3 linked regions of the Medicago truncatula genome follow. The protein of the gene in region 1 interacts with the protein of each later gene in a pairwise test. Links are inferred from orthologs where the notes say so. Each region holds a gene or a part of one and is shown in the gene's direction. Other genes may lie near its edges.

What was found.
Region 2: the proteins of protein ACCUMULATION AND REPLICATION OF CHLOROPLASTS 3 (region 1) and plastid division protein CDP1, chloroplastic interact in binary tests that used the Arabidopsis thaliana proteins (3 or more experiments, as listed by UniProt). The link is inferred for Medicago truncatula from reciprocal best matches to the Arabidopsis thaliana genes ARC3 and PARC6.
Region 3: the proteins of protein ACCUMULATION AND REPLICATION OF CHLOROPLASTS 3 (region 1) and cell division topological specificity factor homolog, chloroplastic interact in binary tests that used the Arabidopsis thaliana proteins (3 or more experiments, as listed by UniProt). The link is inferred for Medicago truncatula from reciprocal best matches to the Arabidopsis thaliana genes ARC3 and MINE1.

Annotation. Positions count from the first base shown.
Region 1 is NC_053042.1:54,510,913-54,518,740, forward strand, and holds the start of protein ACCUMULATION AND REPLICATION OF CHLOROPLASTS 3, read left to right. Parts: upstream 1-4,726; 5' UTR 4,727-4,838; coding exon 4,839-5,158; intron 5,159-5,287; coding exon 5,288-5,346; intron 5,347-5,496; coding exon 5,497-5,561; intron 5,562-5,904; coding exon 5,905-6,039; intron 6,040-6,335; coding exon 6,336-6,384; intron 6,385-7,608; coding exon 7,609-7,721; intron 7,722-7,809; coding exon 7,810-7,828. UniProt on the Arabidopsis thaliana protein: Together with MIND1 and MCD1, regulates FtsZ ring positioning in chloroplasts in an ARC6-dependent manner. Z-ring accessory protein involved in the initiation of plastid division and division site placement (might functionally replace bacterial MinC).
Region 2 is NC_053047.1:36,577,331-36,585,389, reverse strand, and holds the start of plastid division protein CDP1, chloroplastic, read left to right. Parts: upstream 1-4,949; 5' UTR 4,950-5,154; coding exon 5,155-5,412; intron 5,413-6,682; coding exon 6,683-6,796; intron 6,797-6,910; coding exon 6,911-7,048; intron 7,049-7,165; coding exon 7,166-7,270; intron 7,271-7,364; coding exon 7,365-7,487; intron 7,488-8,059. Other genes in the region: auxin-induced protein 15A, read right to left, coding at 156-458. UniProt on the Arabidopsis thaliana protein: Component of the plastid division machinery required for PDV1 localization to constriction sites. Involved in chloroplast division site placement. Required for the proper formation of FtsZ rings at the division site in nongreen plastids (e.g. etioplasts).
Region 3 is NC_053046.1:18,841,261-18,848,609, reverse strand, and holds cell division topological specificity factor homolog, chloroplastic, read left to right. Parts: upstream 1-4,315; 5' UTR 4,316-4,448; coding exon 4,449-4,541; intron 4,542-6,060; coding exon 6,061-6,663; 3' UTR 6,664-6,927; downstream 6,928-7,349. UniProt on the Arabidopsis thaliana protein: Acts as a topological specificity factor during plastid division and specify plastid constriction sites (such as the Z-ring) in a MCD1-dependent manner. Especially involved in epidermal plastids division in a FTSZ1-dependent manner.

The DNA of each region.
Region 1 (7,828 bases):
AGACAAAGGACATTTCAAACATACGAGAGAAGTAGTCACCGAACCCTTAGCTGGAGTTTCGACAACCATCTCTCCATTCATATCAGACAAATCAAGACCCAAAGCAGAAACACAATCGAAAGCAATAAAACAATGCGTAGCACCAGTATCAATAATAGCAACTAAAGGAGTATTATTAATATAGCAAGTACCTCTGATCAAACGATCCTCATTCTCTGTCTGAGTCCCAGTCAAAGCAAAGACCCTACCAGTAGTCGGCGCCCTCTTAGGCTGAGTACACTGTGAACTAATGTGACCCTCTCCATTGCAATTAAAGCACACAATGTCTGTACGATTGCAATCAGCTACAACATGACCTTTCTTGCCACACCGGACACACTTCTTGATTTCCTCAGGGCAGACGTTGCTCTTGTGGCCTTTCTCGCCACAACTGAAGCACACAATCTCTGCAGCATCCTTCTTCTTAGGCCGCCTAACATCGACCATCTTCTGTTTCCCTTTATCAGCGGGGGCACTGTACGGCTTAGGACGACTCTGCTGTCCCTTGCCCTTCCTCTCGTTCACTACCTTGCAGTGAGCCTTCGTATCTTCTTCATAGATCCTGCAGCTATTAACCAAATCCTGAAAAACTCTCAGCTGTTGGTATCCAATCGCCCTCTTAATGTCGGGCCTCAAACCGTTCTCGAACTTGATGCATCTCGAGAACTCAACATTCTCAGCAGTATAATGTGGGTAGAACTTAGACAGCTCCACGAACTTGGCAGCATACTCTGTCACAGACATGTTTCCTTGCTTCAATTCAAGGAACTCGATCTCCTTCTTCCCGCGAACATCTTCCGGAAAGTATCTTCTCAGGAACTCTCTCCTGAAAACAGCCCAAGTCACAACAGCTCCCTCCTGCCCAAGGGTAGGCAGAAGAGCAACCCACCAGTCATCAGCTTCCTCGGCCAGCTGATGAGTACCAAATCGCACTTTCTGATCCTCCGTGCACTGCATAACCTGGAAAATCCTCTCAATCTCCTTAAGCCACGTCTAGGCTCCATCAGGGTCATAACGTCCTTTGAAAGTCGGAGGGTTCTTCTTCATGAACGTCTCCAACATCCTAGCTTCCGCGTTCGCACCAGCATTCACGTTAGGTTGTTGTCCCACGGCTTGGGCAACAGCTTGTAGAGCAGCAGCTAACGCAGCATCGTTTCTTCCAGCCATTTCCGAGATTCTACAAAAGTAGCAACAACAACATAAGATAGTAATATAAATATTACTAAGACTCGACACGACTCTTCTAATTGACCGGACGGACCGACCTGCTCTGATACCAATTGTAACACCCCGTTTTCCCAACATAAAAATTCTTAAAAACATTTATCAGAGTAAGCATCATAAACAACGGGATATCACATAAAACATAATCCAAACAGTTAAATAATAATTTAACCAATATCTTAAACATTGCAGCGGAAAATCATAATCATAATTCATAAAACGTTTTGGCACGTAGGCCCCATCAAAAGTTCATAATCATAATCCATAACATTATAAAAATAACATATTAGTCACGTAAGAGAATGAAGCATGCATAAACCCCATCCCGTTACGTATCAGAGCGACCTAGACGACACAGTGAGGCAAGGCCACTCACAGAAGCAACTGCACACTAAGCACGATCACCTGCAAGTTACCCATACGAAGGGCAACATTTTCAAGCAGAAGGGGTGAGATTTCATAACAAAATAATGCTAATCAAAGTAATTCGAATCATAATTAACATCATAATCATTCCATTATTAACTTTGCATAAATGCTAACAGTTATCACGTAATCATATATCCAATTCATTATGAACAACGTAACATAATCACTAAACACTTATCACGTAATCACATATTCATTCATCATCAACAAGACATCTTAATCATGACAATGTGACAATGCTCCTAGACTCCTTATATGCATGTGGTACCAATCGTCATCATAAGTATTAATATACTTTAATCGTGCGGAGGACAAAGCTCCTATAAAACGTGCGGAGGACAAAGCTCCTAATATTCGTGGTGAGGACTAAGCTCAATGATATGCTATGCATGGACACATATGAACAAAACATCGTAATCAACTTATCAACATGCATCCAATAATTTGGAGCTAAACTTCATCATATAATTATGCACTTAGTTAAATAACGGAAGCAGCATAAACAGGTCACATAACAAGATGATATCATTATATCAATAGCACATAAATTGTATCATTATCAACTCTTCATATCTTGCATAAATATACATTACATTAGCTCATGTTCAATCAATATTATCATGACTTAGACTACTCTACAGACTGCATTTAACAACATCACTAGGTCTCATTACCAGTTAGGGGTCCACTCTTGATCAACAAGTGCGACACAGATCGCACAAACACATAAACAAGTTCATCCTGGTTGTACTCGCGAGGCGAGAGTACTTACTCGCCATGGCGAGTACCACTCAACTCCCAAACTAAGGTTGTTCTGGGTCTAATCTTGCCCTACATTCATTCCTAATCATAACTAGGTATGTTCAGGCACACTAAAGCATCCAAGGTCCAACTAAAAAGGTCGAAACACAAAATCTAACATGCACTCTGCCTTAGCTCGCTATGGCGAGTAAGGTCGCTCGCTATGGCGAGCTGCATTGCACAACTCGCGAGGCGAGGAACAGGGTTCGCGAGGCGAGATTCATAGCTCGCTGTGGCGAGCGATGAATGTCGCTACGGCCAGACTTCCTAAATTCACAAAAACTCGACGTTTCACAAGGTTCTAAGCTTGTTTTTGATTCCAAATTCGTCCTAAACATTATCTAAGGTCTAGGAACACTTTTTACATCAATTAAACCAATTCTCACCGTTTAATCATCGATTCTAAGGTTTTGACCTAGTTTTCGTTTTCTCCAAATCACTCCTAATTCTTGTTAACTAATCATCAGAATCACATTCAATTAACAATACTGAGTTATTAGTCTCACCCTTACCTGGTTATGAAGAAATCACAGCCCTCTATGCTCTTCTCCCTTCTAAGCTTTTCTCCCTTTTTCAAAAGTTTTCACGTACAAAGAGTTTCTAAAATATTAGGTCTTCTCCTATTTATATCTCTTCCTAATTACTTATCTTATCTCACTTTCACCCCCAAAACTATCTAAAATATCAAAACAGCCCTCAACTAAATATTTTATATTATTTTCAAATCTTTATTTTATTTAACAATAAAATAATTCTCATATCATAATCAAATCCTCCAAAACTCATAACTTATCACATCATCAATCAAATCACTAAATTCACCACAAATCATCAAAACATATCAAAATCATGCATATATTATATAATTATAATATAATTGCCTAAACTCAATTAAATAACGATTAAACGAAAGTGGGCGTTACAGTCACCACCTTCCACCATCAGTTCGTAGTTGGAAACCTATCGTTCCCACCTTCTTGCACAAGTTCGTGATCGGAAATCCCAAACAATTTCAGATCCAATTTCAACTGTTTATGTGTTTTTTTATTCTATGTTCATCACGATCGATCGTTCTCAACTGATTTCCGTAATATTAACATTTCATTACCGAATCTAATTTCACCTGAAAATATAACTCACTAGATCTGTATTTCCTATGAACCAAATTATTTACAATGAAAAAGATGAAGAAAAATAAGCATTATTTCAGGTTAATTATTTACAATTAAAATCATTTGGATCTTGTTGTCTATGTTAATTAATGGTGGTGAAGAGTAATTGACAGAAAGTGTTGTTGTCGACGGCAATTGGGAGAATGAACAAATGAATTAGTTTATGAGAATGGATAGAATAGGGTGAGACACATATGAAGATTTTAATGTAGGATCATTTATTTTTGATCATATGGTTGATAAGCATTCTCATCATTCTCATATAATTAACCCATTCTTCACAAGATATGTCCTATATGTGTGTGTGTGTGTGTGTTAATAGGATATACTTGTTTGGTTGTGGTAACGATGTAACGTATTTCGTTTTATCTTTTAAAAAAGAAAAAACAAATTTGAAAAGATAAAAAGATAATAATATGTTTTTTAGGCAACAATATGTTAAACTTTAAGGGTAATAGTTATTTTAGTCCTTGAATGTGTAACGAGTGGTCACAATAGTCTTTGAATGTGTCAAAATTTTAAAATAGTCCATGATTATTAATTTTATCAATTCAAATAATCCCTGCGTTAAAATCTTCTATTAATATTGTCATTTCAGTCTCTCAATATACTTACCTATTGTTATATTAATGATTATAAAGTACTTTCGTATTGTCATATCATTCATTATAAAAAAGAATTGTTGTAAACATCGAAGGACTACTATAACGTTAAAGACTATTTTGACAACAAATTTCACAATTAGGGAATATTTTGAAATTTCAATAGGACTATTATAATTACTTGTTACACATTTGAAAACTAAAATGACTATTTCTCACTAAACTTTAATATGTTTTCCATTGGATCAGATCCTTCTATATATGAGATATCTCAAACTTCTCTTAAACTTTCACATTTTTTAACGATGATATTTTACAAAGAGATTAATGGTGGTGGATTGACAGTCAAAGTAACTTTGCACACACAATCAATCAAAATATTGAATCGCAACATCGTTAACTCACTATTATTTCACCTATTTACATATAAAAGAGTTTTTTTCTTTCTTTCTTTTTGGTTGAAAAAATAGTGTAGGAATACTAGAAAGAGAAAGAATAGAGAACATAGCTAAGCCTTAATGAAGGAAGCCTTATCTATTCTATTGTTTGTACAACAGCAACGCAACGCTAAATGGAGCTTACTGCATTACCCACAACCTTCAAAGCCATTTCTAATTTCACCTTGAATCAATTTCAATGTCGATGTTCTCTTTCTCTTCTTCGTCACTGCGATTATGGATTTCGTCGCAATCGCAATTCAAAACCGTTTCTACACATCACAATGTGCACGGAGGACAAACTTCCGTCGTCCAACGGTTACAGCTGCGGAATTGATATTGGAGAAGAAGCGAAATCCGATTTGGTTGAAGTCATTGCAATTGGCGGTAGAAAGGACGCAGTTATTGATTTCTGCTTGAATTCTCCATTTCAGCTGTCTTCTCTGCGCTTTTGGTAATTATTTATACACAATTTCATGTAATCGCTACTTTAGGATCATGAATTGAAAGTAATTTGAAAAAGTAATTTACAGAAAAAATTAGTAAGATTAGATTATAATTGTTGATGTTTTCTTTTTACCAGGAATATCATTGTGAAAGATTCACAAGAACCGCAATTACAACAAAGGTCTACTAAACAAGGTTTGCATCTCATTTCTGTGATTCTTCTTCATTTTTCCATGCATTTCACTACTAAAAATGAAGCTTAAACCTGAGAATTCAGTCCAAATATTCATACATAGGTCACATTCTGTTGTTTAAAGGTACTGATATTTGACGTTATCTCTGCAGAACCCTGCCAAGGAATTGTCAAAGCCCCAGTATTTATGAAGTCGTGCTCAAAGACCATTGTCCTTGTTTGTACATTCCTTTCCTTAAAACTCTCGCAATAAAATATTTGTTTCAATATTGGTGATCTTCATCCATAAAGTTACCTCAAGTGTAGTTTGCTTTATCATGTTAAACTGATGTTTGAAGTACACAAGTCAACTGAACTACTTAAATTTGTTATTCATCACCGTGAAAAGATATTTTATTTTGTTCAACTGAAATTCTAAGGCTTGACTTTTTGGATTGTTAGATACGGTAAAGCTGACTGCCATGAATTAGGATGTATGGCCTTAGGTTGTATTTTTCCAGCCATGATTCGTGAAAGTGGTCCAAATATGACCTTTGGTTATCCCCCATTTTTCTTCCTAGGTGGCTAGTGCAGGATATGGATCAGACCACACTGTCGCTTTTGATATTTTTGAAACTGTAAGGTCCACAAATGGACTCACAATTGCCATAGTTTTGAAGCCTTTTAGCTTTGAAGGGTTAAGACGAAAAGATGAGGTATGCATGACGCTTTGTTTGATTTACTTTGTTACTGTAATGGCATCAGAAATCATAACCTCAAACCAATCTGTATGATAGTTTTTGAAACATATCTCCGTGCAATATGATGAATAATTCAGTGAGCTCAACATCTTATCAATTGTGATTTCTTGCAAAAATGCTACTAGATGTTATTAACCATCTTAATATTTTTCACTTAAGGATTGATTTAGTTTCCTTGATTAAACTATTATGTTTTGCAATTCAAGCATTTTTGTTCGCATGATATAATTATTTGTGTCACGAATTCTCAGGTAAAAGCTTTGATGGGGAAACTTAAGGAGAATACTAATTTACTTATTGGTGAGCTATGTGCCATATTTTTACAACTTTTTCTTTTTCTCAAAGAAGATTTAGTTGTGTTGATGATTAAAAACTTCATTAAAGGCTGTCATATCATGTTTGGCTGTGCTAAGTCTGAAGGTGAAGCTTGCTGATTCGCCCATTGCGACATACGTCACAAGTTTGCTCAATGTCTTTTTTTGTTTGGTAACACAATATGTGAAGGCCTATTAATTCAGTAGTAAGGAGGGTAGATCAAATGGAGGGGAGTCAAATCACTAGAAGTAGATGAAGACCTAGAAAAACAATAAGAGAAACTATCAAGAAGGATAGAGATTAATGCGTTGGATAAAAATATGGTTTATGATAAAACACTATGGCGTTGTTTGATTCATGTAACCGACCCCATTTAGTGGAATAAGGCTTGGTTGTTGTTGTAACACATTCTGTGAAAGCGAATCAGTTATAAAATCAATACTTGTCAATCTGATATTTGGTAGGTGTCAGTTGGGCTTGTTAGTCTCATGGTCATGGGTCTGGATTCTGCACTATGGAGTGACTTTATGTAGTAGTGAAGAACAGAGGGAATTATATATTTTTATTTACTTCATATAACATAAATACCCTTGTAAATTTCATGGCTACTTTCACTTTTGCAAGATTTTCCTTGCTTACCAGCTTGAAATCATAGAAAGTATGAGAATTGGGCACATGAGACTGATTTTGAAGACCTTCCTACAAGTATGAAGCAACCAATTATTAGATAAAAATCAACTTTTTGTACATATTTTAGGAATGCTTTTGGAATTATATTTCCTGCATGCCACACATACAAAAGAACTCCGATCCATATTGCCTGAAAATACTCAAACTTGGGCACAAACATCAATAATTTTTTTTAAAAAAAAAATATAACTTATTTCCTGCATTCTTAAAAATAAATAAATTATCAGCACATTTACTTCAACCAACCGCGCTGTTGTAATGCAAAAAAAAAAGGCATTCTTAAGAGTTTCTCAAGTTTAACATGCATAGGGTGACAATAATTGGAAAGATATAGTAATTAGATGGATTTCTATCATTGGGATTAAGGGTGGATGCTGTAAGTGGTTTAAAGTTCCTGTGAATTAAACTGATAAAAGTTGAATAGGAGAAGAAAGAAAAATATAATTTATTTTTAATAGGATCATCAAAATGCCTACAGAAAGTTTGAAATTTTGCTCACTTTTGTTGTTTATGAGACAGAAATTGATATCGACGCACTTCTCAAAAAAGACTTGTTGACTCTAGATGAGGCTATGAAGACTGCAAATGATGCTGTTTTGCTAGCTATTAAGGCCATATCTGTTCTAAAATCTGTAAGTTTCATTTCCAAGTATTTCTTTTGCTCTTTGTTTGTGTAAAAATATTGTATGGTTAACGACTTATAGGTGGAACATTTTACAGGAAATGCACAGAAAATTTA
Region 2 (8,059 bases), on another chromosome or scaffold:
GATAGAAATTAGATTACAATCTAAAACCACAAAGATTCATTCTTTGGGAAATTTATTCTAAAATACTAACCTCACACATTTTAAGGTTGCATCTATTTGAATATTAATATATAGAGAGAGAAAAAAATAAAGTTACGAAGCAGCTACAACATTTTTCATCTATCCAAACTAGAAACAATGGACTCAAAAACATCTTGGCGGCAAGGAAGAGTGAGACCCTTACGATCATGATCAAAACCAAACTCTTCTTCAGCTTGACGGAGAAGGTTTTGAAACACTGGTTGATGTAGAAAAGAAATTGGAATAACATATTTGATTCTGTTTTCTCCAACATACACAGCAATGTAGCCTTGGGAAATATCTGAATCAAGGCATTGACGATCATTGTTAACTTGTGTTTTCTTGCCTAGACATGAAAATTTCTTAAGAAATTTTTTGATGGGATTTGTTGGAGCCATTGTGTGGATTTCGTGTGACAATATAAGAGATTATAATTTTAGTTATGGTTTTTGTAAAGTGGTATGATATTAAACACCCTGCGAATTCTATTTATAGACTCACTCATGTGCATCTCTTAGATATTTTTATATAATTTAAAACCGTATATTTGATTTTATTTAAATCCAAAATATAATTCTCTTGAAACAATTTCAAGATCATATTTAAATAATTTTAAAACCGTATATTTCATTTTATTTAAATCCAAAATATATTTCTCTTGAAACAATTTCAAGATCATATTTAAATAATTTTAAAATCGTATATTTCATTTTATTTAAATCTAAAATATATTTCTCTTAAAACAATTTTTAAATAATATCTTTGATTTTATTTGAATCCAAAACATATACTTTTTGAAAAAATTCGCTTATGTGCACCTTTTCAATATTTTAAATAAAATATATATTTTTTAAAACAATTTCAAAATCATGTATTTTATTTTATTTAAATTTGAAATATATTTCTTTTAAAAAAAATTCAAAATCATATCTTTAATTTTATTTGAATCCAAAATACATTCTTTTTGAAACAATTTCAAAATAAAATCATTAATTTTATTTAAAACCATTTTATAACACACACATTTATATATATATATATGTGTGTGTGTGTTTTCAAACAATTTCAACATTATATCTTTGTTATTAATTTATTAATAAGCCTCTTTGACAAAAAAAAAAAGGCTGACTTATTTATTTATAATTTTTTTTCTCATCTATTTGTATTTTGTGCTAGACCTTGTATGTTCTCGTAACATTTGTAATCATATTAAATAATACATATTTAAGTTAATATTATATACAATAAATAGGAATTATCGACACATAAGTGTCATCCAAGTGACAAGAATGTCATGTGACCTGACAACACTTTTATGTGATAACTATAATGGATATAATTACTTCTTTTCCCTTTATGCCTATAACAAAAAACAACATATAGATTGTGTAATCTATGTATAGTTCAATATTTATATTTCTTGGTTTTGAAATATATTGAGTAAAGAATAAATTCAATATCTCATTTTTTTTAAGGAAGTTCAATATCTCGTATTAACTTAGTTAAGCATGACCATGCATTTTTACACTCATATTCGTAAGAGTCTTAAATACATTTTTCATGTTTTGAAAAAGTTGTATTTTTAGGCTGGTTTTCAAGTGGGTTTGGGCTAAAAAAACTAGGCCTTTTCCTCAAATTTGCAAGAGAAAAGAAAAGTGTTTTCTTGACATAGAAAAGTTCATAAAGACACAAGTAAAATACATTTATGCCCCCAGCAGTCGTTAACTGCCGTTGGTTTTTCCCCCAAAAACCAGAAAACCCCTACCTCTCCTATTCATTCATCACCTTACACCACCAATACCATACCAAAAAAAAAAATCCCCTTATCAAATTTTTTTTGTCAAAATCTTGCTTCCAAATCATTGCTGATCGATTGCTATGACGTTTCTACACACAATATGCATCAAATAACAGGTATTACAACGTTAAAATCCATTACATTTGATTGATTTTTCTGGTTATTTTGTTTTGTACTGTCACAAGCTTGAGCGGCAGTTAACCACCGTTGGGTTTGAGCGGCTGTTAACTGCCGCTGGTAACTTAGAAATTTTTTCAAAATTGTCAAATGGCAGTGCTACTGCCCAAAAAAAAAATTTCAATTTTTTTTCCTTTTGTTTTTTTTTTGTTTATGTTATTATATGATATTAGATACATGTTTATTAATTAGTTTAGTAATTGTATGTTGTTTATTTATAGATAAGGTTGAGAATGCGGGTGATCGAAAACCTAGAGTTGTCGATTCCATTAAGGTTGAAGCTCTCGCTAAGGTCGAAGCTTCCGTTAAAGTTGAGGCTTCAAGCGTCAATTCCGATGTGTGGAAACTTCGTGACAACGAAGTGGACACGGCTCATTTATTTTCGACCCGATGTGTGGAAACATGATTTGCCTTGGTTTAATCCCAAATCATTTTGTCCTTCTTTCGTTGGTTGTCCACTACCTCCATCATCCACGGAGTGGAGAAATCATAGGAGCGATGAGGCAAAAACATGGGATTATGAATTCTTGGATCAACACGATCGTTTCCGAGCACTCATGGAGATTGAGGACAAAGAGAGACCGATTCCACCAAAAGAACCAACAAATGAAGACAATCCAATTATGTTTGATGACACTCCAGTTAAAGAAAATGAAGAATTTGAAGATGTTCTGGAACATTTAGATTATTTGCTTTTGTTAGATGAAATATGACACTTTTTGGTCGGTGTTAATCTGTTTTTTAGTCGATACGTGCCGACGTATTTTTTGGATATATAATGTAATGATTAATTTTTTGGGTGATATGTAATAACCTTTAACTATATATATATATATATATATATATATATATATATATATATATATATATATATATATATATTTGAGTTTCGCATTTATTAGTAATTAATGTACATTACGTGTAATGTGTTGCACAATGTGAAAAATTTGATGGATTTCAAACAATTGTGAAACGTTAACGCATTATCGGTTTTGTGTAATGTTACCGAATAATTGATAAACTATGAAATATTGATGTTTGTGATTGCTTGATGTTGTTGTTTCGGTTTGATTTCCTCCTGAATTGTCGTTCGAAATTATAGGTAAAACAAGACAAATTTCCTGGAAAAAACCAGTGCAGGCTGCACCGATTCTGCTAACTAGTGAGAGCGGCAGTTAACTGCCGCTGGCTCCAGCGGTTGTTAATTGCCGGCGTATTCTTGAACGGCTGTTAACTGCCGCTGGGGGCATAAACGTATTTTACTTGTGTCTTTTTTGTTGTTTTTCACCTAGAGGCGCACCTCACACGCTAGTGCAGTTTTCGCACACCCTGGGTGTCACATCAGCACTCAACAGCGTGTTTTTGGGTTTTTTTTAGTCTTTCTGAGTGTTTTCTTCCTTGTAACTTGTCCTGAGACTCGAAGTAGAATTTATTCTCTTTGTAATGTCTTCAGATGCTTTTTGAATCATCATCCATTGTCTTCCCAAATTCTCTTGAGATGATTTGATTTGTCAATTTGCATTATTTTGCATTGAATTACATCATGAAACCTAAGAACTGTTTGGTTTTGGGGAAACTAGAATTGCTTGACTCAAAATGAAAACGTTACAAAAAGTTCCAAAAACCATAGACAATTGTTATAAATATCCTCTAAATTGGATCAAAACCTAAATAAAATGACTGAAAAATATGTTGAAAATAACGTAAGATGACATGTCATTACCCTTGACCCCAATTTGTCTTGTCCTTGAAATAGTTTAACAATCAAACACTGCACAAATCGAGCTATCATGTCCTTCATTTTTCTGCAGATCATATGCATTTATAGTGTGCCAATGCATTATTATACAATGTATAAGCTTATCCAATCCAACCTTTATAAAATGTGATTATTTTGGGCCGCTTATATCATTGCTCCAATTACAAGGATTCTAGTCATCTTACATAAAATTTTGCTCCTTCGCACCTTGAAAATACTAAAATACCCTAAACGGCAGCTAAATGTCGTTTGCTCAATGAATTAGTCGAATTTAATTGCCGTTGAAAGGCATTTTAGTAGAGAGCGACAGTTAACTGTCGTTGAAGGTATTTCGGTATTTTTGGGGTGTGAGGGAACAATTCTTGAAGTGAAAAGATAAAAATCCCATTTATAACAATGATAATAACACAAAATCATTAATTGAGTGCGATAGATGTGAGATATCGTGTGCTAACACATTATTACATAATCTACAGACTAATTTAATTCGACCATTGTCTAACGCAATCCACTTTGGGCCCCTTGTATCCATGGTCTAATTATAGCGGTGGTTTGTAGTAGCGCGATCATCTTTGGGTTACTTATAACATTGATCCAGTTATAATAGTGATCCATAGTAACACAAAATCATCACTTAAGTGCAATAGATATAATATATCGTGTGTGCTAATGCATTATTACACAATCTACATGGTCATTTAATTCAACCATTGTGTAACATTATCCTCTTTGACCCCTTATAGCCATGGTCCAACTACAACGATGATTTGTAGTAGCACGATTATCTTTGGGCCGCTTATAACACTAGTCTAGTTGTAGCAGTGATCTATAATAACACAAAATCACAACTTAAGCGAGACTGATCTTAGATATCCCGTGCCAATGTATTAAGTTAATTTAATTCGACAATCCTCTCCATTTGGTATAATAAATGGAGTATGCAATTTGGAGAGAGATAGACACAGGGTCCTACTTTTAAGTGGATCCCACCATCATTAATTACTTTTTAATTTTTTGAATTTTTTTTTATCTATATCTTTTCGAATGGATGAAATCGAGAGAATAATAAATGGAGAGGATCTTAACTCTTAATTAAGACGAAAGAGAAAAAAAAAATCCACAATAATTATTACTACTTGTTTTAATTTGTCGTAATCTCCCTCTTTTTCACCCAACGTTTTTCACACACACTTCTCTCCCCCAATTCTTCACTTCTTCTTTTCTTCTTCATAACAAAAATTCCAAATCACTTTTCACAATTTCTAAACTCAAACCAATGTGTTACGAATTTCCAATTCAACAATGTTGAAATTTCACTGAACAATTAGGGTTTTGAAGAAAGGGGAATGAGAGTTCGCTCATGGCACTGGCTAATGCTGCAGTGATCGGTCCTTCTCTGTATAGCGTTGCTCGCATCACGAAAGCTCCTTTTCCAGGTTCACATGGAGAAATTGGTTCTAGATTTTGTGGTTCTGCGTTTTGTGTTTGTTCTCACGCTGGGAAAAGTGATGTTGTTCTTGAACGGAGGAAGTTGAAATTTGGTGATAGTAATAATAATCGCATTGTTGAAAATCAAGTGTTGAAATCGACAGTCGAAATTCCGGTTTCGTGTTATCAGGTGATTGCAAATTGGTGTTTGTTAGTTTAATTGCGTGTTTGTGTGTTTAATTTGTTTGATTATTCATTCGTCATTGTAATTATCATCGCCATTTTTGCGAAGTAATTAGATGTTAATGATAGGATCTTAGTGAGTTTGATGAATTGGAGGAATGATTGGGAGTGATGACCGCCCCGGTGAAACACTGACACAGACCCTAGACATGACACAGACACACGGCACTAGTAATAATAATTTAAGGAAATAGGAGTGATTGTATCTAAACACATGCGTCAATGTCAGACATTGACACGTGTTAGATACTCATACACGTCTTCAATTTGAAATGTTAGAAATGACACATATATAGACACAGACATGTAGGCGCTGGTAATAGTTTAAGAAAATAGAAGTGATTGTATTTAAACACCCGTGTTAGTGTTGGACACTGACACATGTTGGATACCGGTACATGTTTTTGATTTGAAGTGTTGGTGCTACATAAGTGATATTTGATATGTTAAAGAGAAATGACTCAAGCTTTAAAATAAAACTTGATGTTAATTCTCTTTATTTTATCATAAGATAAAGGATGTTGCATGGAATTGAATGTTGGAAGGTAAAATAACTAACAAGAAACTAAACTTATTGTTGTAATGATGAGATTGTCAGCGCAGGCACTGACACATGTTAGATATTTGTGCATGTTTTTGATCTGAAGTGTTGGTGCTACATAGGTGATAACTGACATGTGATAGAGAAATAACTCTAAGCTTAAAGAAATCTTTGGTATTCATTTATAATAAGACGGATGATGTTTTATGAAATTGGATGTTGGATGGTAAAATACCTAACAAGTAAACTTATTGCTGCAGTGATGAGATTATGAGAATGTTACAATGGAGGAAGAAATGGATATATTAGACAAGATAGGATTAGAAATGAAATTATTAGAGAAAAAATGGAGATGTGTTCGGCGAAGACCTGTAGATTAGAAGTAGATGAGGAGAGCGTGCATAGTCTTATAATTAGAGGTAAAGGAGAGACCAAAGAAAGTTACAAGCTATAAACATAGATTTAGGGGTAGTTTTATTCTGCAATTTTGGCTCGTTGAATATGATTGGATAACTCCATATGTTTTATATCATCAACTAAGTTTGAACATATCCACCCTTTGCATTTTTGTTTTCCATGTTATGAAGGAGTTGGTGTTTGAGACGATTCATTAGTTATGATGAGTGTTTTATTATTGTTTTGAGATTTGTTCTAGACCACTTGGTTCATTTTGCAGCTTATTGGCGTTCCTGATCGAGCTGAGAAAGATGAAATTGTTAAGGCAGTTATGAGTTTAAAAAATGCAGAAATTGACGAAGGTTACACAATGGGCGTTGTTGCATCTCGCGAGGTATAGATGTCACCACTAACTAATTATGTTTTGCTAAAATTGGTTTTAGAGACGCAGATAAAGTAACTGAGTTGTTGTTGTTGTTTGTTGCTCTCATCTAATATTACTTTGCAGGATCTTCTGATGGATGTTAGGGATAAGCTCCTTTTTGAGCCAGAGTATGCTGGTAACCTGAAGGAAAAGATTCCCCCTAAACCTTCCCTTCGTATTCCTTGGTCTTGGTTGCCCGGTGCTCTATGCCTTCTTCAAGAGGTACACTTGGCACATACTTGGTCTTTTTAAATTTTTTTTCTTCCCGATGACCGTGTATTAATTTCTCCCTGTTTTCTGGAAATATTTGACTTCTACTTCTCTATTCCTTCTGTTCAGATTGGAGAATCAAAGCTTGTGCTGGACATTGGAAGAACGAGTCTTCAGCATCAAGATGCGAAGCCATATGCAGATGATTTAGTTCTTTCTATGGCACTAGCTGAGGTAAGACATATGGACAGAGGTTGGAAAATTACTATCTGAATTTAAAACAGTCTTGTTTATATACCCTATTCTTATCATAGGTGTCTTATTGAAGTGTACAGTTGCGAAAATTGGCTTTGAGAAGAACAAAGTATCTCAAGGTTTCGAAGCTCTTGCTCGTGCCCAGTGTCTTCTAAGAAGTAAACCATCTCTTGCAAAAATGACACTCTTATCTCAGGTGTGAAACTTTTTTTAAGTGTATATTCACTGACTGGTTTGCTTAGTATATATTACCTCAGACCCTAAACATAGGCTCCTCTTGAGAAATTATCATGTCCCTTTTTATGGGTCCCCTTCAAATTTTGAAGTGTATTAATTATTTCTTTATCAGCATAATACTTCTTATTAATTTTCCACCTTTTTTAGAACCAACTAATAAACAATAAATACTGTCATGGGAAAGATAAATTCACCCTCTCTCATAAAGGGTAAACTTGGAAAAACTATACCAATTGTTAATAAATTTAATTTAATACTACTTTCAACTTTCTTAGTCTTCATGATTTAGTCAACAGGGTCTAATATTTATGTATTTAGGGACAAATGTAGTATTTTACCAGGAAAAGATTAGGCTATAAGCCTGTAAACTCCACCTCTCATTTCAACTACAAAGAAAAAGGAATCATTAATTAAACAGGTGTAAAATTGTTGTAATCCCTAGTTTTTGTTTCTAATTCAAGAACATTGGGAATTTCCATGAAGTCTAGGAATAATGTGGTGTACTTATTTAGTGAAGATGATCATTTCTAT
Region 3 (7,349 bases), on another chromosome or scaffold:
TCAACCTCTTGTTGCTTTTCTCATTGTAAATTAATGGACGGGGAGAGAGAAGGATAATGGGTCTAAAAAAATTTAGTATTAAGGGTATATGATAATACTATGATCTTCAAAAATGGTTGCCATCTATTTTACAAAAAAAAAATAAAAAAAAATAAAAAATCATGTCTCCTACGGTAGGAGATCTAAAGAGGTCTCCTACCATAGCCTTTGTCTTATTCTCATATGTCATTGTTCTACCGTGAAATAGCGTTGCTTGTGTAGTATTTTTGTTTAATTGAAATCATAGATTTGAAAGTTATTTATGTAAATCTGTCTTGGGAATCATTGAATTGTTGATTTGTAAAGATATTGCACAACACAACTTATTGTTTCGAGTAATTATTGATTAATAGTATATGTAGTTCTTCTTTGCCTAAAATCGTTGAAACAGAGACTATGTGCACGCATAACATTGCAAATCAAAATAAGCGGTAATAAGTGGAAGATTTAATTGAACCCTCTACCCAACTTTATTGTTACTATTTTCTTCCCCTAAATTTTTTATTATTTTCTTATTTTTCAATGCAGATAACATTGTAAATGCGCTTTGACGCATAACTCGCGTTTCGACGTCTAACTTGTATAGAGCATGGACCCGTGATTAGCACGAGTTTGTTGCTACTAGACATAAAATATTTAACTTTTTTTTAAAAGATAGAAATTTTAAAAAAAAATTAAGTTAAATGAAAAATATATCTTAACCTTCAATATTATTTATGTGTCCTTGTTCATTTTTTGTGTGTCAATTAGTAATTTTTTTTGACAAAGGAGTGGATGCAAATAGGAGAGATTGAAATATGTAATACAATCACGTGGACTTATTTGTCTTGAAAATTGCTTTTCTGACATAAAAAATATTAATAACACATGGAAAATTCGAAAATACATTAGCGGTAGTTAACTACGGTTGTGTTTGTTCCGGGAATGCAACAACTTACATTCAACCTTTTTTTTTCTATCATTCAACCTCTTCTTTCAACATTTTTTTAATTAAACCCCCTATTAATACTCTCCCAACCTTCACCATTTCCTCATACCATCATCTCACATTCTCTCCTCCTCACTCTCCTTCCTCCTCTTCCTTCTACAACAACTAGAGCTGTCAAAACGGGCGACCCGGCCCTAATGGGCTTCGGGCTTTATCGGACCGGGCCAAAAAGCCCGGTTGAAAAAACGGGCTTGAAATATACTACCCAAGTCCGGCCCTACACGGGCAGGCCCGTATTAATTTTATTTTATTTATTTTTTTTATAAAAAAATTACTATAAAATACTCATATAATTTTTTTTTATAAATAATATTTTTAATATGTTTAAATAATTCCTAGAACAAAAATAAATTGTAAACATTTTTGTACAAACGTCGTAAACTAAAACGGCGAGGAAAACAATTTTAAATAAATTAGATACGTTATGGTTATAGATATTTATATTTTCGATCTTTAAAATTATAAATAACGAAACAGGTAAATATAATTTTATATTACATGTATATTTGTGTTAATTCATTGAATTTTCACTTTTATTTATTACTTTGATAATCAACTAAGTAAAGAATTATTTGCAAAATATATAACATTTATAGGTTTTTATTTGTTATGCGGGCTAGCGGGCTACCCTCGGCCCGTTCGGGCTAGCCCTAACGGGTAGCGGGCTTTTTAGGGCCGGGCTAAAAAACCATATTAAAATTCGGGCTCAATATTTAAGACCCAAGCCCTATAATTAATCGGGCTAAACGGGCCGGCCCACACGGCCCGGCCCGTTTTGACAGCTCTAACAACAACAATGTTGTTTTTTTCATCCTTGGCCTTTCATTGAAAGAGGCATCTTTGAAAATTTGAAAATTTCAAGAGGTTTCTTTGAATTGGTTTTACCCCAGGATTTAGGGTTTATGGTTTGTGATTTTTTTTTTTGTTTTAACCCAAGTGGAGGTTAAACAATAAGAGTGCAGAGGTGAGGCACAATTCGAGAATTGATGTTGTCATGTAGCAGTGCCATGAGGAACAATTGATGGGTCTTCTTGATGTTGTCTTGTATGAGTATCTTGGAGAAGAGTATCCGGAAGTTCTAGGTTCAATTTGAGGTGTTCTCTAAGATTCTTTTTATATCGTTTTCTGGTGGTTTTTTTTAACTCAGATTTAGTTTTACCCCATCATGAATGTATCATAATATTAATAAAATGAGATTTTATACCTATTACTTTTGTTCCTTTATTTTTGCATTTATTTTATGATTGTATATGGAATAAATAAATCCGAATAAAAATTGTGTATTAAAAAATAAATAAATTCAAAAAAAGACTAATTAAACACAACGTGAATTCGAATAAAAATTGCGTATTAAATAAATTCGAATAAAGTTGCATATTAAATAAATTCGAATAAAAGTTACATTACATTACATTACATAAAGTTCCTAAATATGTCCTATCATTACATTACATCCGGGTAGAGATATGTGGTGCAACAACTGTCTTACCTCTGAAATTGGACAAATTCAAACCTGCTAAACAACAGCTCTCAAGCATTCACCTGGAAGTTTTATTGTCTCATTCAAAAGATTAAATTCTTGTTAGTTTGTTGAAGATGTTGGTATTGAAGTGTCAAAAGATTAAGAGAACACAACATGTATCACGCAGAATCAGCTACATATGTTATCACATCGATTTCCCTCATATAAGACGAGTAATCACATAGAGAATGAGGTGCATTCTGTGACACTCATCTTATATGAAGGAATTCAATATCATAACTTATATAGCTGATTCTGCATAATACATGGTCTCTTAATATTTTGACACTCCAATACCAACATCTTCAACAAACTAACAAGAACTTAATCTTTTGAAAGGCACAATAAAACTTTCGGGTGAATGCTTGAGAGCTGTTGTTTAACAGGTTGACCTTATCCAATTTCACAAGTAAGACAATTGTTGTAGTTGGAAGGTGCATTCCCTACCTAATCACGATCTTCTGGCGGAATCAAACTGTTGAGAATATCTTCAGTTGATCTCTGCAACGTGACAAACATATCGATCATCGGAACCATGTTGTGCTGCCAAAAAATCGAGAACATACTCCTCACGTCGTCGCCGTTCTTTAACTCTAGCAGAATGAACGTTATTCTCCCGTCGTCCAACGTTAAACGTTCATACCAAATGTATTTCACCCTTCTCGTGTCTCCGGGGTTGAGTCTTTGGTTGATTTCATCTAGTTGATCCTTGAGACCTTTTAACGTGACATTAATGTACCGAACCTTGAACATCTAAGGATTTCCACCGTTGAAGCGTATGCAAACACTGAAAAAATCGGCCATTGTTTCAAACATACCTATACAATAAAAAAATTAAACAATCAATGAAAAATTCATTCAAACATTTCATCAAACATTTGGAGTGCAAATTATACACAAACCCTAAAAAACCCAATTTTTTTTATAAAACTTGAAAAAAAAAATATAAATTTAAGCAATATAACTCGATTATAACAAATATTCATAATATTTGTTAATAGCATTTCAGATCTATAACATAACGCTATTAAAAAAATAAATCAAAATTTAAAAATTAAACTACAACTAAAATTATAAACATATATACCAACTAAAATTTATGATAATAGCCTAAATGATTACTTAATTGTGATTTAGTGGCAAAAATTTGGATGATTTGGTAGAGTTTTTTTAAAGAGAGAGAGTGAAAATTGAAATTTTTAGAGAGAGAGAGTATTGAAAGGGTGGCTGGAAGCTGGGTCCTGACTTGAATATGTAACGAACGCAGCGGTAGTTAACTGTTGCTAGATATACCAATGGTAATTAACTATGCTGGGGGCAATTTTGTGTTTACCATGTGTTATTAGGAACTAATAGATGTTAGGAAGGACGTAGTGCACATGTGAGAGACTTAGGTGAGTCATCCATTCTAGAATTCACGGTATTCTATAATGGGATAATAGTCCCTAATGTTAAAATGTTTCATTAATATTGTTATATTAATTCTTCAATACACTTACTTATTATCATATCGGTCTTTATAAGTACTCACTCATTGTCATTTTTAGTATTTATATGAAAAGAGTTATTTTGAATATTGATATATTATTTTAGCGTCAAGACTATTTCAACTAAAAGTGTGTTGCGTGCACAATTAAGAATTATTTTAAATTTTGAAACATTGATGAACTATTGCAATTACTTGTTGAGGGGACATAAATGACTATTAAGTATTATCCCATTATTTAATCTTTACTTTTTATTTTTATTTTTTTTGAGAGGACAGTGCCCAACTCTTTTGGAAAACGGTAAAACGACGACGTACTGAAGTGGTGATTGAGGGGCAAATAGGGTACACTACTTGCAACAACAGTGAACAGAAGCACTGAAAATCCGTTGGGAAATCCGAAGCTATCAACAATGGCGATTTCCGGCGACATTAGAGTCACTGCAACTCTTCCACTCCATCGCTCACACCCTCTTCTTCCAACCACTTCTTTTATTCCTCCAAAGGTATCGTTCCTTTTCTTTTTCTCTAATTAGGGTTTCAATTTTAATTTTTAATTCGAGCTTATATTTTTACTTTCAAATTGATGGCGCTGTTTTAGATTTTACTGTGTAGTGTTAATTATTAAGAATGTGTAATAGAAAAAATGAAAATTAATGTTTGTGTTGTTTTAATAGTGGTGTTGAAGAAGAAAATTCGACTCTTTTACTTTAATTTCTAGTTCAGAAATGTTGGAATTTATGTATGTATTTAGTTTGGTTTGGCAATTAGCATGATATTCTATGAAGCAACAACTTAGACACCAGACACCAGAATGTCAACACCGATAATAATTTGAGAAAATGACATAATTTAAGTTAATTATAATTATATGCGTCGGTGTCAGATTCAATATATTCAATATGTATCTGACACCGGGACATCCTAATCCAAGGAGTATTTGTGCTTCATTATGTTTTAAATTGTGATTACATTAATTGAAATTTTGGATAAATGTTGCTCATTAAACCATATTTTAAGCTTATATTTATGGCGAGTTTGGAGAAATTATCGTGGGACTGTGATTTTTGTTGAAACTTCAAAGTGTAGTTTTTGTTAAAATTTTGGTAGCGGATTGTTATTCTGTTAAACTCACTATCAATTCAAACATGTACTGAAACCGTGGTGCTTTTTGTTATAGATGTATTTTCGGATGACAGAAGTCCTTGAAAATTATATCACATGTTTGAGTAATAAAATGAAGGGGAATGAGGTCTCATAGTTTTAATGAGCTGTTATGTTATTGTCTACAGTTTATAAGGATTGTTGATTTACCACAATTCATTACTCACTATGTCCAATAATAATTGGCCTATTTGCAAAAGAAATTTGTCCCAGAATAAGTTAGTTTCAAAGGTTGTCCTAAAATAATTGACGCTTTCAATTTTGAAGGTCACATTAATTAAATATACCACTCCCAATTCAATACCTTCTACTTTGCATCAACGGCGATGATAAATACACCTATACATGATAAGGATAATACAATATAAGTACTATTCTTTGTCTTTAATTTATACATTTTGTTGATTTGTGCGAAATAGTCAAACATGTCATATTTTATGGGGGGAGAGTGATTTGCAACTCTATTTCGTGTCCCTCTAGACCAAAGTATCAGTGGAGTGCATAATTGTTTTTCCACTATATTCCATTTGATTGGAAATATGTGTTATCTATTGTTATAAAGTTTTTGCCTTAGAGAAATTGGAGAAAATATATGTGTAGCATTTTTCCATTTTGTGCTGACCAGTTGCTAAAAGAGGATGTGATACAGCTGTTTTCCTTTTTGATATTCAGTATAGTGGAAAAGGTTGTATAAAATGATCTTTTATCATATTTATCGTTGAGATATTTAATTTAGATGCTTGTGGCTGGACTTCTTAAATGTTACATTTTTTATAGATGCGAAAGTTTACTTAAAATCCTTACAAGATTTACAAAATGTTGAAAATGCCTTGTTAATCTCTTAATTTTTCTGTCTAACAGGTCGATTTTCATTGTTTCTTAAATGGAGGGTCCTGCATATCTGGATTCACCCCAAAACGTTCCACCATGACAACTGTACGAAGCAATATGCGTGGCTATCACAAGCCTGTTTTTGCAGTCCTTGGAGGTTCTAATTTTTCATCAAAGTCAGGTAGCCAAGAAGCCGAGAACTTTCTCCTTGATGCTGTTAATATGAGTTTCTTTGAGCGTTTAAATTTGGCTTGGAAGATAGTTTTCCCATCAGCAGTGTCTAAGAAAAGCTCTGTTGCTAGGATTGCCAAGCAACGTTTGAAGATGATTTTGTTCTCTGATCGATGTGAAGTAAGTGATGAGGCAAAGCAAAAAATAGTTAGCAACATTGTGCGTGCTCTATCAGATTTTGTGGAAATAGAATCACAAGATAAAGTTCAGTTGAGTGTCTCTGCAGATACAGATATTGGAACCATTTACTCTGTTACAGTGCCCGTACGGCGGGTTAAACCAGAATATCAAGTGGTGGATGAAACTGGGACAATAACAAATATTGAGTATAAGGACACCGGAGATATTTCAGGTTCTGTTGATGTTAGATTTGATTTCTATGTTCAGGATGAAACGTCTTGATTTTGAAATAAAAGGTCTTGAATGTTGACTTCTTTGCCAGAAGGCAGTGTTTGAAACCCTTACCGATGAAGCCAATTTGGAGTGCTGTATATATATTTGCAAATTGAAGCTTCCGTTAGGGTGGGTGACTCGATTTTAATGAGAAATTTTGTAACACCTTTTATCTGTTAGTCTGGTTTGATGCACTGTTTTTAACTTTATGATAGGATTTTGTTGCTTGTTGTATGAATCATTATTATAAATGGAGTTTGTAGTTCATTCTCACTGGCCATTGTAAGGGAGCTGATAGTTTAAGCCTGAGCATATTAGTTAGAATAAAATCATGGATTCTCCCTAGCTAGCCAAAGCCATTGATGCTCCACTCAAACCAAGAAGAATCTATGTGCTTAATCTTGTTTGGGTTAAGCAAACAGCTGCAAAGACCTTGACATTCCTTAAGTAACATTACCATACCTTGTATCTTACAGCGGTTTCCTGAGAGGTCAGTTAGTTGCAAGTTTGCTCTTCGACCTTGCTGAACTCTTCGAATCTGGCACCAACTTTCGAGAGGAGCAAAAAACTAAACAAGCCCAGGAGCCATGTGATCTATATTTGCCCTATGAAGAAAAATGGAAGAGCTGAGAAGAAAAACTCATATGTTGTATCTATATCAATTCGTTCAGAATGAAGGATATCTTAACAGAACG